Anolis sagrei: one gene and its partner. The main gene of each other region encodes a partner of the protein of the gene in region 2 in a complex. Links are inferred from orthologs where the notes say so. Each region holds a gene or a part of one and is shown on either strand. Other genes may lie near its edges.

The links. Proteins that work in one complex are often made in the same cells at the same time.
Region 1: KAT6B (region 2) and BRPF1 share a complex: the UniProt entries of both Homo sapiens proteins name them as parts of the MOZ/MORF complex. The link is inferred for Anolis sagrei from reciprocal best matches to the Homo sapiens genes KAT6B and BRPF1.

The regions. Positions count from the first base shown.
Region 1 is NC_090022.1:26,957,087-26,964,580, reverse strand, and holds the start of BRPF1 (peregrin), read right to left. Parts: upstream 3,009-7,494; 5' UTR 2,741-3,008; intron 1-2,740. UniProt on the Homo sapiens protein: Scaffold subunit of various histone acetyltransferase (HAT) complexes, such as the MOZ/MORF and HBO1 complexes, which have a histone H3 acetyltransferase activity.
Region 2 is NC_090023.1:148,789,238-148,797,097, reverse strand, and holds the start of KAT6B (histone acetyltransferase KAT6B), read right to left. Parts: upstream 3,005-7,860; 5' UTR 2,794-3,004; intron 1,760-2,793; exon of another isoform or gene 1,673-1,759; intron 1-1,672. UniProt on the Homo sapiens protein: Histone acetyltransferase which may be involved in both positive and negative regulation of transcription. Required for RUNX2-dependent transcriptional activation. May be involved in cerebral cortex development.

The sequences.
Region 1 (7,494 bases), on a different chromosome or scaffold from region 2:
CTGCTTCCCTCTTTGGCAGACAGGGATAAAAAGACTTTGCAAAGCTCTATGGAATTGTAGGATTTGGTGAGGCATAGAAAGCTAAAGATCTTGTAAACTTAGAACTCCCAGGATTCTACCACACTGAGCCATGACAGTTAAAGCAGTATCAACTTTAATTCTGACACACATGCCTCCTACATACTGGGCAACCAATTGGGGTGAAGGAGGGATGGCAGGACTATCAAGCCACCCCTTCCTCTATACCAGGCCTGGGCAAACTTCAGCCCTCCAACTCCCACAGTTCCTAACAGTTGGTGGACTGATCTAAACATAGTAGAATGAATGCAGTTTGGGACCCCTTTAACTGCTGTGGCTCAATGCTATGCAATCATGGGATTTGTAGTTTTTTGAGGAATCAGCTCTCTTTGGCAGAGAAAACAGAAGACCTTGTAAACGAGGCATGGCAAACTTGGGCTCTCCAGGTGTTTTGGACTTCAACTCCCACAATTTCTAACTGATGCCTGTTGTAAATGAACAGCTCCCATGCTTCTCTAGCATTTAGCCAGGGCAATGAAAGTGGTGTCAAACAACTAATTCAACATTACAGATGCCACCCTCAGTCTCTATTCTCTCTGGCTCCATTCCCCATTGTTCTGCAGAATGAGTGGCCACTTGACACCACTTCAACTCAAGGCAGTAGGGTCCTCCCAGCTGTAGTTTCACAAGGTCTTTAGTCTTCTTGGCTGGGCCCTCACCAAACTACAACTCACAGGATCCCACAGCCTTAAGCCAGGGCAGTTAAAGCAGTGCCAAACTGCATTCATTCTGTAATATAGATGTGTACCTGATGTCAGCACGGCTGGCAGGAACAAACTACAACTCCCAGGATGCCATAGCCTTGAGCAGTGGCAGTTAAAGCAGTGCCAAGCTGCATTCATTCTGTAATATAGATGCGCCTGAGGTCAGCACTGCTGCCAGAAACAAACTACAACTTCCAGGATCCCACAGCCTTGAGCCAGGGCAGTTAAAGCAATGCCAAACTGCATTCATTCTGTAATATAGATGTGTGCCTGAAGTCAACACTGCTGCCAGGAACAAACTACAACTCCCAGGATGTCATAGCCTTGAGCAGTGGCAGTTAAAGCTGCGCCAAACTGCATTCATTCTTTAATATAGGTGCGCTTGAAGTCTGCACTGTTGCCAGGGACAAACTTCAACTCCCTGGACTCCCTAGCTTTGAGCTGGGGCAGTTAAAGTGGTGCGAAACTCCATTCATTCTGTAACATAGATGTATGCCTGAAGTCAGCACTGTTGCCAGGAACAAACAGCAACTCCCAAGATCCCACTGACTTGAGCAGTGGCAGTTAAATTGAATTAATTCTGTAATATAGATGTGTGCCTGAAACTGCATTCATTCTGTAATATATATGTGCCTGAAGTCAGCACTGCTGCCAGGAACAAACTACAACTCCCAAGATCCCAATGACTTGAGCAGTGGCAATTAAATTGAATTAATTCTGTAATATAGATGCGCCTTAAATTAGTACTGCTGCCAGGAACACACTACAACTCCCTGGACTCCCTAGCCTTGGGCCAGGGCAGTTAAAGCGGTGCCAAACTGCATTCATTCTGGAACATAGATGTGTGTCTGAAGTCAGCACTGCTGCCAGGAACAAACTACAACTCCCAAGATCCCATTGACTTGAGCAGGGGCAGTTAAACTGAATTAATTCTGTAATATAGATGTGTGCCTGAAACTGCATTCATTCTGTAATATAGATGCGCCTGAAGTCAGCACTGCTGCCAGGAACAAACTACAACTCCCAAGATCCCACTGACTTGAGCAGTGACAGTTAAAGCGGCGCCAAACCGCATTCATTCTGTAATATAGATGTGTACCTGAAGTCAGCACTGCTGTCAGGAACAAACTACAACTCCCAGGATCCCACTTCCTTGAGCCAGGGCAGTTAAAGCGGCGCCAAACTGCATTAATTCTGTAATATAGATGTGTGCCTGAAGTCAGCACTGCTGCCAGGAACAAACTACAACTCCCAAGATCCCACTTCATTGAGCCAGGGCAGTTAAAGCAGTGCCAAACTGCATTCATTCTGTAACATAGATGTGTGCCTGAAGTCAGCACTGCTGCCAAGAACAAACCACAACTTCCAGGATGCCACTTCCTTGAGCCAGGGCAGTTAAAGCGGCGCCAAACTGCATTCATTCTGTAATATAGATGTGCCTTAAATCAGTACTGCTGCCAGGAACAAACTACAACTCCCTGGACTCCCTAGCTTTGAGCTGGGGCAGTTAAAGCGGTGCCAAACCGCATTAATTCTGTAATATAGATGTGTGCCTGAAGTCAGCACTGCTGCCAGGAACAAACAACAACTCCCAAGATCCCACTGACTTCAGCAGTGGCAGTTAAACTGAATTAATTCTGTAATATAGATGTGTGCCTGAAACTGCATTCATTCTGTAATATAGATGCGCCTGAAGTCAACACTGCTGCCTGGAACAAACTACAACTCCCAAGACTCCACAGCCTTGAGCAGGGGCAGTTTAAAGCGGTGCCAAACCGTTTTAACCGCACAGGGTGGCTGCGCCCCCCTTTCTCGTGTGGATCTGAGGCAAGAAAGAGTAGGCCGCAACCGCCGAACCCCGTGAATCCTCCACCCAGCCTTAATATCCCCTCCAAGGCGGAGGCCCGTTTTGCCTCCCGCAGGCCCTCTTCCCCTCCGTCCCCGGCTCCCCTCCTCACCCGAAGCGACTTAGGCCTCAGGCCTGCGGGGGCTGTGAGGCGGCTGCAGCGTGGCGTCGGCAGCCGCCATGGGCCCCAACCCGGACAATGGAGGAGGAGGAGAAAGAGGAGAAGGCGAGGGACGAGGGCGGCCAGGCTCCAGCTTCTTCTCCTTCTTCTTCTCCTCGTCCTTCTGATTTTTCAGTGTCGGCCAGCAGAAGAACCAGCAGCAGCAGCAACAGAGAGAGAGGCAGCTCCTGCGCGGGGAGGCCCCGCTGGGTAAAGCGGCTCCTTGGCAACCGCACTTTCGACACCCAGGAGCAGGCATATTCGGAATTTGACCCCATTCACAGGTTTATTTTAACACTTATTTAAATCCATTTGAATATTAATCCCTTTTGTTTTTCTCTGGAGTGAAAAGAAAGTTCACTTGGTGAGAACGTGAGACGAATCTGCTCGCGGGAATGGCAAGGCTAGGCCCAAACGAAGGAAGGGGAGGGAGAAGGAGGCAGAGCTGGGTTAGAGTGCATCTCTCTCTTCCAGGCACGGGCAGACTTGGGCCCTCCAGGTGTTTTGGACTTCAACTCCCACAATTCCTAGCACCAGGAAGGCCCAAGTTTGCCCATGCCTGATCTGCACTGTATCCTGGGAGTTGTAGTTTGGTGAGGCAGTAGCTACAAGGCTACAAGGCCTTGTAGAACTACAACCCCCAGGACCCCTAGCGTTGAGTGGTGTCAAACTGTATCAATTTTACAGTGTAGAACGGGGTCCTCAAACAGAGTCCCTCAAAATATTGGAGGGCCCCATTATAATTTGAAAAAAATATATGAATGAATTCCTATGCACACTGCACATATCTTATTTATAGTGCAAAAACCACTTAAAAACAATATAATAATTAAAATGAAGAACAATTTTAACAAATACCATAGAATCCTAGAGTTGGAAGAGACCTCATGGGCTATCCAGTCCAACCCCCTGCCAAGAAGCAGGAATATTGCATTCAAAGCACCCCTGACAGATGGCCATCCAGCCTCTGTTTAAAAGCTTCCAAAGAAGGAGCCTCCACCACACTCCGGGGCAGAGAGTTCCACTGCTGAACGGCTCTCACAGTCAGGAAGTTCTTCCTCATGTTCAGATGGAATCTCCTCTCTTGTAGTTTGAAGCCATTGTTCCGCGTTCTAGTCTCCAAGGAAGCAGAAAACAAGCTTGCTCCCTCCTCCCTATGGCTTCCTCTCACATATTTATACATGGCTATCATATCTCCTCTCAGCCTTCTCTTCTTCAGGCTAAACATGCCCAGCTCCTTAAGCCGCTCCTCATAGGGCTTGTTCTCCAGACCCTTGATCATTTTAGTCGCCCTCCTCTGGACACATTCCAGCTTGTCAATATCTCTCTTGAATTGTGGTGCCCAGAATTGGACACAATATTCCAGATGTGGTCTAACCAAAACAGAATAGAGGGGTAGCATGATCTAGACACTATGCTCCTATGCTCCTAGAGGGGTAGCTAGATCTAGACACTATGCTCCTATTGATGCAGGCCAAAATCCCATTGGCTTTTTTTGCCGCCACATCACATTGTCAGCTCATGTTTAACTTGTTGTCCACGAGGACTCCAAGATCTTTTTCACACGTACTGCTCTCGAGCCAGGCATCCTCCATTCTGTATCTTTGCATTTCATTGTAGAACTACAACTCCCAGGGACCCCTAGCATTGAGTGGTGTCAAACTGCATCATTTTTACAGTGTAGAATATGCATCCTCAGGCTTAAGCTTCCAACCTAACCAGCTTTCCTCCTTACCTTGGTCTAGCAATTAGATCTCAGGCCTGTGATGAAATAAAACCTCTCTGTATCAGTATTATTTATTTATTTATTATTTGAACTTAAATGCTGCCACTCCCCTGGGGCTCGGAGCGGCTTACAAGAATGGCTAAAATCTAACAAAATTTAAAAGCAATTTAAAACAATTGAAACACAGCAGTATCAAACATTAAAAGCCTGTCGAAACATGTATGTCTTACATGCCCTGCGGAAAGCTGGTAAGTCCCAGACTTCAGGTGGCAGAGTATTCCAGAGTGATGGTGCCACTGCTGTGAAGGCTCTGCGTCTGGTTGCTGTTAGGCGCAAGGTCTTGACACTGGGAATTTCCAATAGATCTTGGTCCTCAGAACGGAGGGATCTCTAGGGTTGGTAGGGGGTGAGGCGGTCCCTCAGGTACATCGGCCCCAGACCATGCAAGGCCTTAAAGGTGAGTACCATCACTTTGAAAGTGATCCAGTGCTCAATTGGTAACCAATGCAGCTGCCGTAAGATTGGTGTTATGTGGCATCTCATCGGAATTCCCGCAAGAAGCCGAGCAGCTGCATTTTGTACCAACTTGAGCTTCCGGATCACCGACAGAGGAAGGCCAATGTAGAGGGCGCTACAGTAGTCCAGTCTTGAGATGACCGTGGCCTGGATCACCGTAGCTAGGTCATCCCTGGACAGGTAGGGGGCCAGCCGTCTAGACTGCCACAGATGAAAGAAAGCGGTTCTGCTAACGGCAGAGACCTGGGCCTCCATCGTCAGCAGAGGGTCCAAAAGGACTCCCAGACTCTTTACCAATGATGACGGGCGTAGCGCCTCGCCATCCAGGGTAGGCAGCTGGATGTCCCCACTGACTGGTCGACCCAGCCATAGGATCTCCGTCTTTGCTGGGTTCACCCTCAACCTGCTGGCACGCAGCCATCCAGTAACGGCCTCGAGGCACTGATGGAAACAATCGGGTACAGAGTCCGGTCGGCCTTCCATCTTCAGCACCAGCTGAGTGTCATTGGCGTACTGGTAACACTCAAGCCCAAAACCTCAAACCAGCTGAGCAAGTGGTCGCATATAGAAGTTAAACAACAGAGGGGAGAGAATGGCCCCCTGAGGAACCCCACAAGATAGAGGGGACCTCTCAGAGACCAGGCCTCCCCTCTTCACTCGCTCTCCACGGTTGTGAAGAAAGGAGGACAGCCAGTTTAAAGCTGTCCCCCTGACTCCAACAACAGCAAGGCGGTGGGTCAAAAGATTGTGGTCGACTGTGTCAAATGCTGCTGTGAGATCCAATAACACAAGCAGCGCTGACCCGCCCTGGTCAAGCTGGCATCGAAGGTGATCCGTGATGGAGACCAGCACGGTCTCTGTCCCGTGCCCCACACGGAAGCTGGACTGGAAGGGATCTAGTCCGGCTGTGTCATCTCAGAATTGCTGCAACTGCTTCGCTGCTACCCTCTCAATCACCTTGCCCAGTATTATTATAGGTGGCTGTGAGTTTTCTGAGCCTGTGTGGCCATGTTGCAGAAGCATTATCTCCTGACATTTTGTCCACTTTATTTACTGTCCTGATTCTAGAGGTTTTTTTAATACTGGTTGCAAAATTTTGTTCAAACATACTGAGGTCGAACATGACCTCCCCCACCCCCATAAGAAATAGTAACTTATAGTTTTGCTAAGGACAAAAACATCAGGCTGGATAATAGGGGTAAAGTCTTGGTCAAATTTGCAAAGACAGTAACAACCACAACAGGGAGCCTTCCCATGCCAGATAGTGTGTATGTTTAATCAAGGTTTTATGCCCTATGCTTCATATATAGCAGAAGGTAATACATTTATTACTGAGAAACCACCTCCCTTTACACTTATGTACTCTCTTGAACTTTTATAGGGCTTTCCCCCTTCTGGAGGACTCTTAGAAACTTTTTGGAAACTTTACCTTTTCAAGCCCCATGAACCTTTGGACTTTTTAAAACTTGTTCCTCTCCCCAGCCCCATGGGCTCTCAAAATGGCTTTATGAATTCCCAATGGACTTTGGTGGGTGGGGGGAGGTGGAGATGGGCTCTTTCTCTTTATATGAATGTACCCTCATATGATTAACTTGCATGTTTCCCCCTTCTCCATACCCCTTATATGAAATATGAAATGCCACTCTTTGTGACCCCAGCGCCCAAAGCCTTAGGGAAAACTTCACATTCCTCTGAGAAGATAATCCTTTGATTGTTGGGTCTGTGGGCTCTCACCCTCCAGGGCGAGAGCCACTAAATTCCTGCTCAATATCAATACCAGTATTATTTTTTTTTTAAAAAAAATCCAAAGTCAGGACAGTAAATAAAGAAGAACACTCAGAAAGCAGGGGAATTCCAGACAGGAAACAATCAGAGCCAGCTAACATCTCCCCAGGCAGGAAACAGCCAGGCTTTAAAGCTGCAAGGCCATTAAATGCTAATCAAGATGGCCATTTGCAACATTCACACTTGCCCCCAACAGACAAGATTTAGTAGGGTCATGGCTGACGTATCAGCCCAAGCTGGTAGTAAGCACTCCTGATGGTTGTAGCTACCTGGGCTGACATTTGGAGGGACAGATCCAGGAATACTCCCAAGCTGCGAACACAGTCTTTCAGGGGCAGTGTAACTCCATCCAGAATTGGTTGACACACTTCTATCCCCAGATTAGGACCCTTGATGGCAATCACCTTTGCTTTGTCTGGATTCAGTTTCAATTTGTTTTTTCTTGGCTAGCCCATGACCTCATAATAATAATAATAATAATAATAATAATAATACACTTTATTTATACCCTACCACTATCTCTCCAAGACGACTCGGGGCGGCTTAGGTAAAGGTAAAGGTAGTCCCCTGACATTAAGTCCAGTCATGTCTGACTCTGGGGTGTGGTGCTCATCTCCATTTCTAAGCCGAAGAGCCAGAGTTGTCCGTAGACACCTCCAAGGTCATGTGGCCGGCATGA
Region 2 (7,860 bases):
AACAGCCATATGACCCAGAATATCATGGCAGATGATCCAGAATATCTGCTTTGAACTGGGATATCTAAGGGCCCTGCCACACAGCCCTATATCCCAGAATATCAAGTCAGAAAATCCCACATTATCTCTGTGTGGACTCAGATAACCCAGTTTAAAGCAGATATTGTGGGATCTTCTGCCTTGATATTCTGGGTTATATGCCTGTGTGGAAGCACCCTCAGATTGTTTTTCTCAGGAACTCCTCAGGACCCTTCCCCACAGCCCTATAACCCAGAATATAAAAACAGAAAATCCCACAATACCTCTGTGTGGACTCATACAACCCAGTTCAAATCAGATATTGTGGGATTTTCTGCCTTGATATTCTGGGAAATAGGGCTGCCCTGAGCCCATACTGCCATATAACCCAGTTCAAAGCAGATATTATGGGGTTTTCTGCCATGATATTCTGGGATATAGGGTTGCCCTAAGCCAATACTGCCATATAACCCAGTTCAAAGCAGATATTGTGGGGTTTTCTGCCTTGATATTCTGGGATGTAGGGCTGCCCTGAGCCCATACTGCCATATAACCCAGTTCAATGCAGATCTTGTGGGATTTTCTGCCTTGATATTCTGGGATACAGGGCTGCCCTGAGCCCATACTGCCATATAACCCAGTTCAATGCAGATATTGTGGGATTTTCTGCCTTGATATTCTGGGATACAGGGCTGCCCTGAGCCCATACTGCCATATAACCCAGTTCAAAGCAGATATTGTGGGATTTACTGCCTTGATATTCTGGGTTATATGCCTGTGTGGAAGCGTACTCAGATTGTTTTCCTCAGGAGCCCCTCGGGACCCTTCCCCACAGCCCTATAACCCAGAATATCAAAGCAGAAAATCCCACAATATCTCTGTGTGTTCTCAGCTAACCCAGTTCAAAGCAGATATTGTGGGGTTTTCTGCCTTGATATTCTGGGATGTAGGGCTGCCCTGAGCCCATACTGCCATATAACCCTGTTCAAAACAGATATAGTGGTATTTTCTGCCTTGATATTATGGGATGTAGGGCTGCCCTGAGCCCATACTGCCATATAACCCAGTTTCAAAGCAGATATTGTGGGATTTTCTGCCTTGATATTATGGGATGTAGGGCTGCCCTGAGCCCATACTGCCATATAACCCAGTTTCAAAGCAGATATTGTGGGGTTTTCTGCCTTGATACTCTGGGATATAGGGCTGCCCTGAGCCCATACTGCCATATAACCCAGTTCAAAGCAGATAATGTGGGATTTTATACAGCTGTGTGGAAGGGTCCTGAGCTCTCCTCCCCAAGCCTCTCAGAGGCCACGTTCAAAGGCACGCGCCCAACCAACGCTTCCTTCAGCTCTGCATAGCAGGCCTCTTATTTACCCATCCAATAACTCCAAGCCCATCCAGTTGCCCTCACAGGGTTGATTTGCATAGCTGGCCCCGCCCCACGCCCCCCCTCTCTCCTCGCGCGCGCCACCTGCAACGAGGGCGCGAGGCCCCTGCTTGCCTCGCCTCGTCCGCCGGGGGGCGCTCGCGACCCACCCTCCGCCGGGGGGAGGAGCCAAGGCAAGCCCCAGCTGCGCCCCCTGCCGGCCTCCCCGCCGCCGCCCAAGTTCCCTCCTCCTCGGGCAGCGCCCGCGCCGCCACCGCTTCTCACCTCGCCGCCCTTCGCCTTTCAAGCCGCCTTCGCTGCCGCCATTTTGTCTCGCCCTCTCGCAGTCACCGCGCATCCGACATGACACCCGATGACAGCCCGATGTAGGCTCATTACAGCCTCTGCCCCCCCTCCCTCGCTTGCCCTCCCCTTGGTGGACGCCCCGCCTCTTCGTTCAAACCGCCGCGCTCATTGGCGGCAGCGCCCTGCCTCTCGTCATTCCTCTCCACCAACCCATTTAGACCTAGCACGCCATTGGACGGTGAGTGCTGTCAATCAATCCTATAGTCGGGGGAGGGAAAAAAATGCACTGTCGCTGTCCACGATCCTAGTTGGCTGGCAATTACACATAAAAAGGGGGAGGGACGAAGATTGAGAGAGAGAGAAAAGGGAGGCACGCTTTGGCTTGTTTAATAGGCTAGTGAAGCTATCAATCAAGCTCAAGCAGCCTCCCTTTTTTTTGCCTTTGCTTCGGTTTCATCCTGAAGTTTGTAATCTGTGGGAATAGAGCGGGGGGCGCTTTCGGCGTGCGGGAGGGCACGCGACACATACTAATCAGCGGCGCGCGGGAGTACTGTATTATTATTGTTATTATTATTGAGTTTCACGCCACGCGGGCGGGCGGAATTGAAAGGGGAAACAAAACAAGCTCCAAATCAGAAGGAAGGGAAAGATTGAGAGAGAGAGGGAGGAAGAAGGGTGCACGCGCTGCCTGCCCAGGCACGCGGGGCCCGCCGAACCCGCCCATTTCCTGCAGGAAACAATCGCAGTCTATAAGGAGGGAGGGAGGAGGGAAAGGCACGGATCCTCTGTAAACACGTGCCTTGGCGGGAGGGAGACAGAGAGAGAGAAAGGAGAGATGCTCCTTAGGAATGTGGCTCCGAGGAGAAGGCAAAGAGAAGAACCCCACCAACAACAACAACCCTTTCCCCCCAAACTATCGATTTCCCTGCTCCACAACAATCCCAAAACACACCCCACACAAAAACCCCCAGAGATTGGGAAGCAGAAGCACTCCAACGGGAGGAATCCTCCCCATCCTCATCCTCCTTTCCCTCCCCCTTCCAAAGAATCCAATCTTTTGCAAACCAATCCATCCATCCATCAATTCCCCCCCATCCGACCTTTCTTGGTGGCTGCAGATTTGTCTCCCGGACCCGGTGGTGGTGGTGGGCTCTAAAAGCAGGGACTTGATCACGGCTAATTGAAAGGTTAATCTACATAAGGCTCTGACAGAAGAGGTCCCTCCCCGTTTTCTGGGTTGTTGCGGGGTTTTTTTTTTCTTTCTCTCTCTTTTTTTTAATCTGCTCCTGGCAAGTGGGAAACGGAGCTCCTCGGGAGGGAGGGGGAGGAGGAGGAGGAGGGGAAAGGGAAGGGGAGGAAGGAAGGGGGAGGCTGGCTAGATGGCTGGCTGGCTGGCTGGACGGAGGCAGGGAGGGAGGAGGGAAGGAGGGGCGCCATCCCAAGGCAAGGGGCCCCTTCGCCAAGGAGGCATCCGCAGGGCTGGGAGCGCCTTTTGTCCTCAGAGCTGGAAGAAGGGGCTGCCTACCCCCCCAACCTGGTACCAACTTGGGGACCCCCCCCCCTTTCCTCGCTTCTCCACGCTCCCCATGCCTGCCTTCTCTCTACAAAGGTGGCCCTCCTTCAGGTACAAGACTCAGTCACACAACAACCTCTTCTCTGCTAGGCTTGAGCAGCTGCCAAGTTTGTGGGTGCCACACAGAATTCCTCCTTGATACCCATCCATCATATACACATGCATACACATATATGCATACTCACATGTATACACATATGTACATGGACATATATGCATACATACATAGATAGGCATATTTTGTTGTTGTTGTTCATTTGTTTAGTCATCTCCGACTCTTCGGGACCTCATGGGCCAGCCTACGCCAGAGCTCCCTGTCAGCTGTCACCACCCCCAGCTCCTTCAAGGTCAGTCCGGTCACTTCAAGGATGCCATCCATCCATCTTGCCCTTGGTCAGCCCCTCTTCCTTTTTTTCTTCCACTTTCCCCATCATCATTGTCTTCTCTAGGCTTTGCTGTCTCCTCATGATGTGGCCAAAGTATTTCAACTTTGTCTCCAGTATCCTTCCCTCCAATGTCTCCAGTATCCTTCCCTCTGGGCTTTATTTCCTGGAGGATGGACTGGTTGGATCTTCTCGCAGTCCACGGCACTCTCAGCACTTTCCTCCAACACCACAGTTCAAAAGCATCGATCTTCCTTCACTCAGCCTTCCCTAAGGTCCAGCTCTCACATCCGTAGGTTACTACAGGGAATACCATGGCTTTGACTATGCAGATCTTTGTTTACAAATAGAAATATACATATATACATACACAGTAAATGCACAACTCCAGAGGTTAGCCAGAAGAGATAAGGACCTTGAAGGAGCTGGGGGTGGTGACGGCTGACAGGTTGCTCTGGCATGGGCTGGCTCATGAAGTCATGAAGAGTCAGAAGTGACTGAATGAATGAACAACAAATACATATATATATATATATATATATATACATACAAATATAAACGCACACCCACATATATACATACAAATACAAACCTGCACATACATACATATGCACATGTACATGCACATATATGCATATATGTATATATATATATATATATACACATACACATATGCATATATATACGAATATAAACATTCACTTATACATACATATATACAGTATACAAATATACACATACCCACATATACAAATATAAAGATACACATATGCATGCACATCTTTACATATAAATGTAAACATACACATATGGATGCACATATAAATATGCACACACACACATATATATGCACATATACATACAAATATAAACACACACATATACATACATCTGCTAGGCTTGAGCAGCTGCCAAGTTTGTGGGTGCCACACAGAATTCCTCCTTGATACCCATTCATCATATACACATGCATATATATATATGCATACGCCATGAGTCGCCCTAATGGGCTGAGAATGGCGGTTAATAAATGCATCAAATAAATAAAAATAAATAAATACCCACATATATATACAGATAAGTACATGCACATATATGCATACATACATATGCATATACACACAAATATAAACATACATATACATCCGCATAGAAATATATCCCCATATATATACAAATATAAATATACATATATACATACACTGTAAATGCACAATGCCAGAGGTTAGCCAGAAAAGATAAGGAGCCGACAGGAAGCTCTGGCATGGGCTGGTTCATGAGGTCATGAAGAGTCGGAAGTGACTGAACGAATGAACAACAAAAACATACATACATATATATGCATACAAATACAAACCTACACATATATTCATATGCACAAGTACATGCACATATATACATATATATACATACATATATGCATATACATACAAATATAAACATTCACTTGTACATACATATATACAGTACACACAAATATAAACATACACATACCTACATATACAAATATAAACATACACATATGCATGCACATCTGTACATATAAATGTAAACATACACATATGCATGCACATATAAATATACAAACACACACATATATATATGCACATATACATACAAATATAAACACACACATATATACATACAAATATAAACACATATATACAAATATAAACATATATACATATACACAAATATACACATGCAAATATAAACACACACCCAATATATATACATATACAAATACAACATACACATATATACATACACATATATACACATGCACATACACATGTACATTCACATATATGCATACATATATATACAAGCACATATATGCATATACATACAAATATAAACACATGCATGCATATACACACACATATATAAATATAATCATACATATACACATATACATACACACCTATATACATAAAGTATGCACACATATATACATAGACATACACATACACATATACATACAATATAAACATACACACACACACATATATGTGTGTGTGTGTGTGTACAATGATACCTTGAGTTAAGAGTTTAAATTGTTTATGACTGGACTCTTAACTCAAAATGCTGTTATCTCAAAGCTAATTTTCCATTGAACTGCTATTAATCCATTCCATGCCCCTTGTTGTGGTTCAGCCTGTGATTGTGACAGCATCTGAGGTCTCACAGAAGCCTGGTTCTTTACCTGATGTGGCTGAGGATTCTGGGAATTATAGGTCAATTGCTTTGTTTTTAAAGAAATAAACTTTATATCGACCCTTTGATCTTTTACCTTCAGTAAACTGCTTTGCTTATAAATTGAGTTCTGGAGTGGTGAGACTGGTTTAAAGGTGCCCTTCCAGCCCTGGTGTGCGACCCCCCCCCCCCCATTTTTGTTACATGCTTTTAAAATAAAGATGTAATTGTCAGTAACAAGTAATGTATAAATGCACATTTATTTGAAACTGTTTAAAAGAACAATCAACTGTAAAATGGTAGAAGTGCAAATTTGTAGTAAGGAAGCACATTTGAGGCAACAAAATGTGTGCTGGCCATTGTAATAGCAAGGCAAAACCTGCACGTTCACATGGAATAATAAAAAAAGAAAGATCAACTTGAAAATGGTAGAGGTACAAAGTTGTGGCAAGGAAGCCCAAAGTGAAGAGGCAGAAGCATCATTTTCTTCCTACTGGACACATTCCAGCCTCCCTCCCTCTCTTGTTCTTTCTCCCTCTCTTCATGAAGCCAAACATACCAGGAATAAAAAAGCACACAAACTAACCCAAAGTTCTTCAAAGGGGACAGCAATCTCCCAAAGCAGACAAGAGCACATGGTACGGATGCTACTCCCTTGAAGCTCTAAAGCACTGTACTCTTTCGCTAGTGCTCCCTCTAGCACCAGCTCTTAATGCAAAATGCTGCTTGTATGTCAAAGCAAAACCTGGACAAGTGACAGCTCATGACTCAAAATGCTTTTAGGTTGGAACGCTTTTAAGTTGAGGTTCTACTGTATACACATACATATTCATCCACACACACAGAGAGATATCTATAACTCATAAATCATTGCTATGTATTCAAGCCTTGCAAGGTCTCGGGGTGCATCTACACCCCGGATGTCAAACTCTAGGTTCATGAGCCAAATCCATCCCACTGTGGCATTTTCAGTGGCTTTCCAGATGCTGGAGTATGACTCCTATATCACCATACTAAAGCTGATGGGAGTTGGGCCAAAGCTTGTTCTGTTTAGTCAGGAGAGTGTGGTTTGTGTTGACGTTAAAATGTCTTTTAGTCTTTCCTCAACTTCAGAACCACAAGGGCTCCTGAGTTGCCATTCCTGTTATCTCCGTTCCGCATGGCGTATTGTCAACAGGGATTAAAGTTGTCCTTCAATCTTATGTAAATTTACATAAAAATTAAAGCGTGCCAACAACTATGTAAAACAATTACATTATGTAACACAATTTTTGTTCCTGGTTTATAAATGTCATTTCCTAATTGGGTCTACCATAAAAACATGGAAAAAGCTTATTAAACTGCAAAACCTTTTCTTTTCTTTTCTTTTCTTTTTTTGCAGGACATCCTGCAGCACATTTTGCTCTAGTTTTTCAATGAATATCTCACCAAGGCTCAACCAATTCAACATAGTTTGTGGCAGCCACAAAAACAAAGTTTCAATCTGGAATATAACAATGTAGAGTATAACAACTTTCAAAGTAAGTACTGCACAATTTAACAAGAAATAACACTTTCAAACCAGAAACATGTCCCCCCACTCCACAAATTTTGTTACATCGTGTTACTGTTTGCTCTCTGTATCCATGGATTTTCCATCCATGGATTCAATGGCCCTTTGAAGGCAACGGTAACACTGATGTGGCTCTCAATGAGAATCAGTTTGACATGCCTGACATAAATAATAACACAGTTAGTAGGAAAATTGCAACTGTTGTCCTATATATGGCTGGCTGGGAGGCATAGCTACATGTAGGACAGGGCTTCTCAGGCTATTCAGGGAGAGGGAATGGTTCCCCACACAAACACACATTGTGTCAAGGCTTAGCATCATGTTTGTGCCCATTAGGTACCCCAGTTTCTCACTTGCCTTGAAACTTGCAGGTGATGCCCTACAAACCACCTCATTGCACTGAAAGCATGGGTGACCATCACTTTAAGAGTAGAGAATTGCCCCTCTTATATTGTCAGCAGTC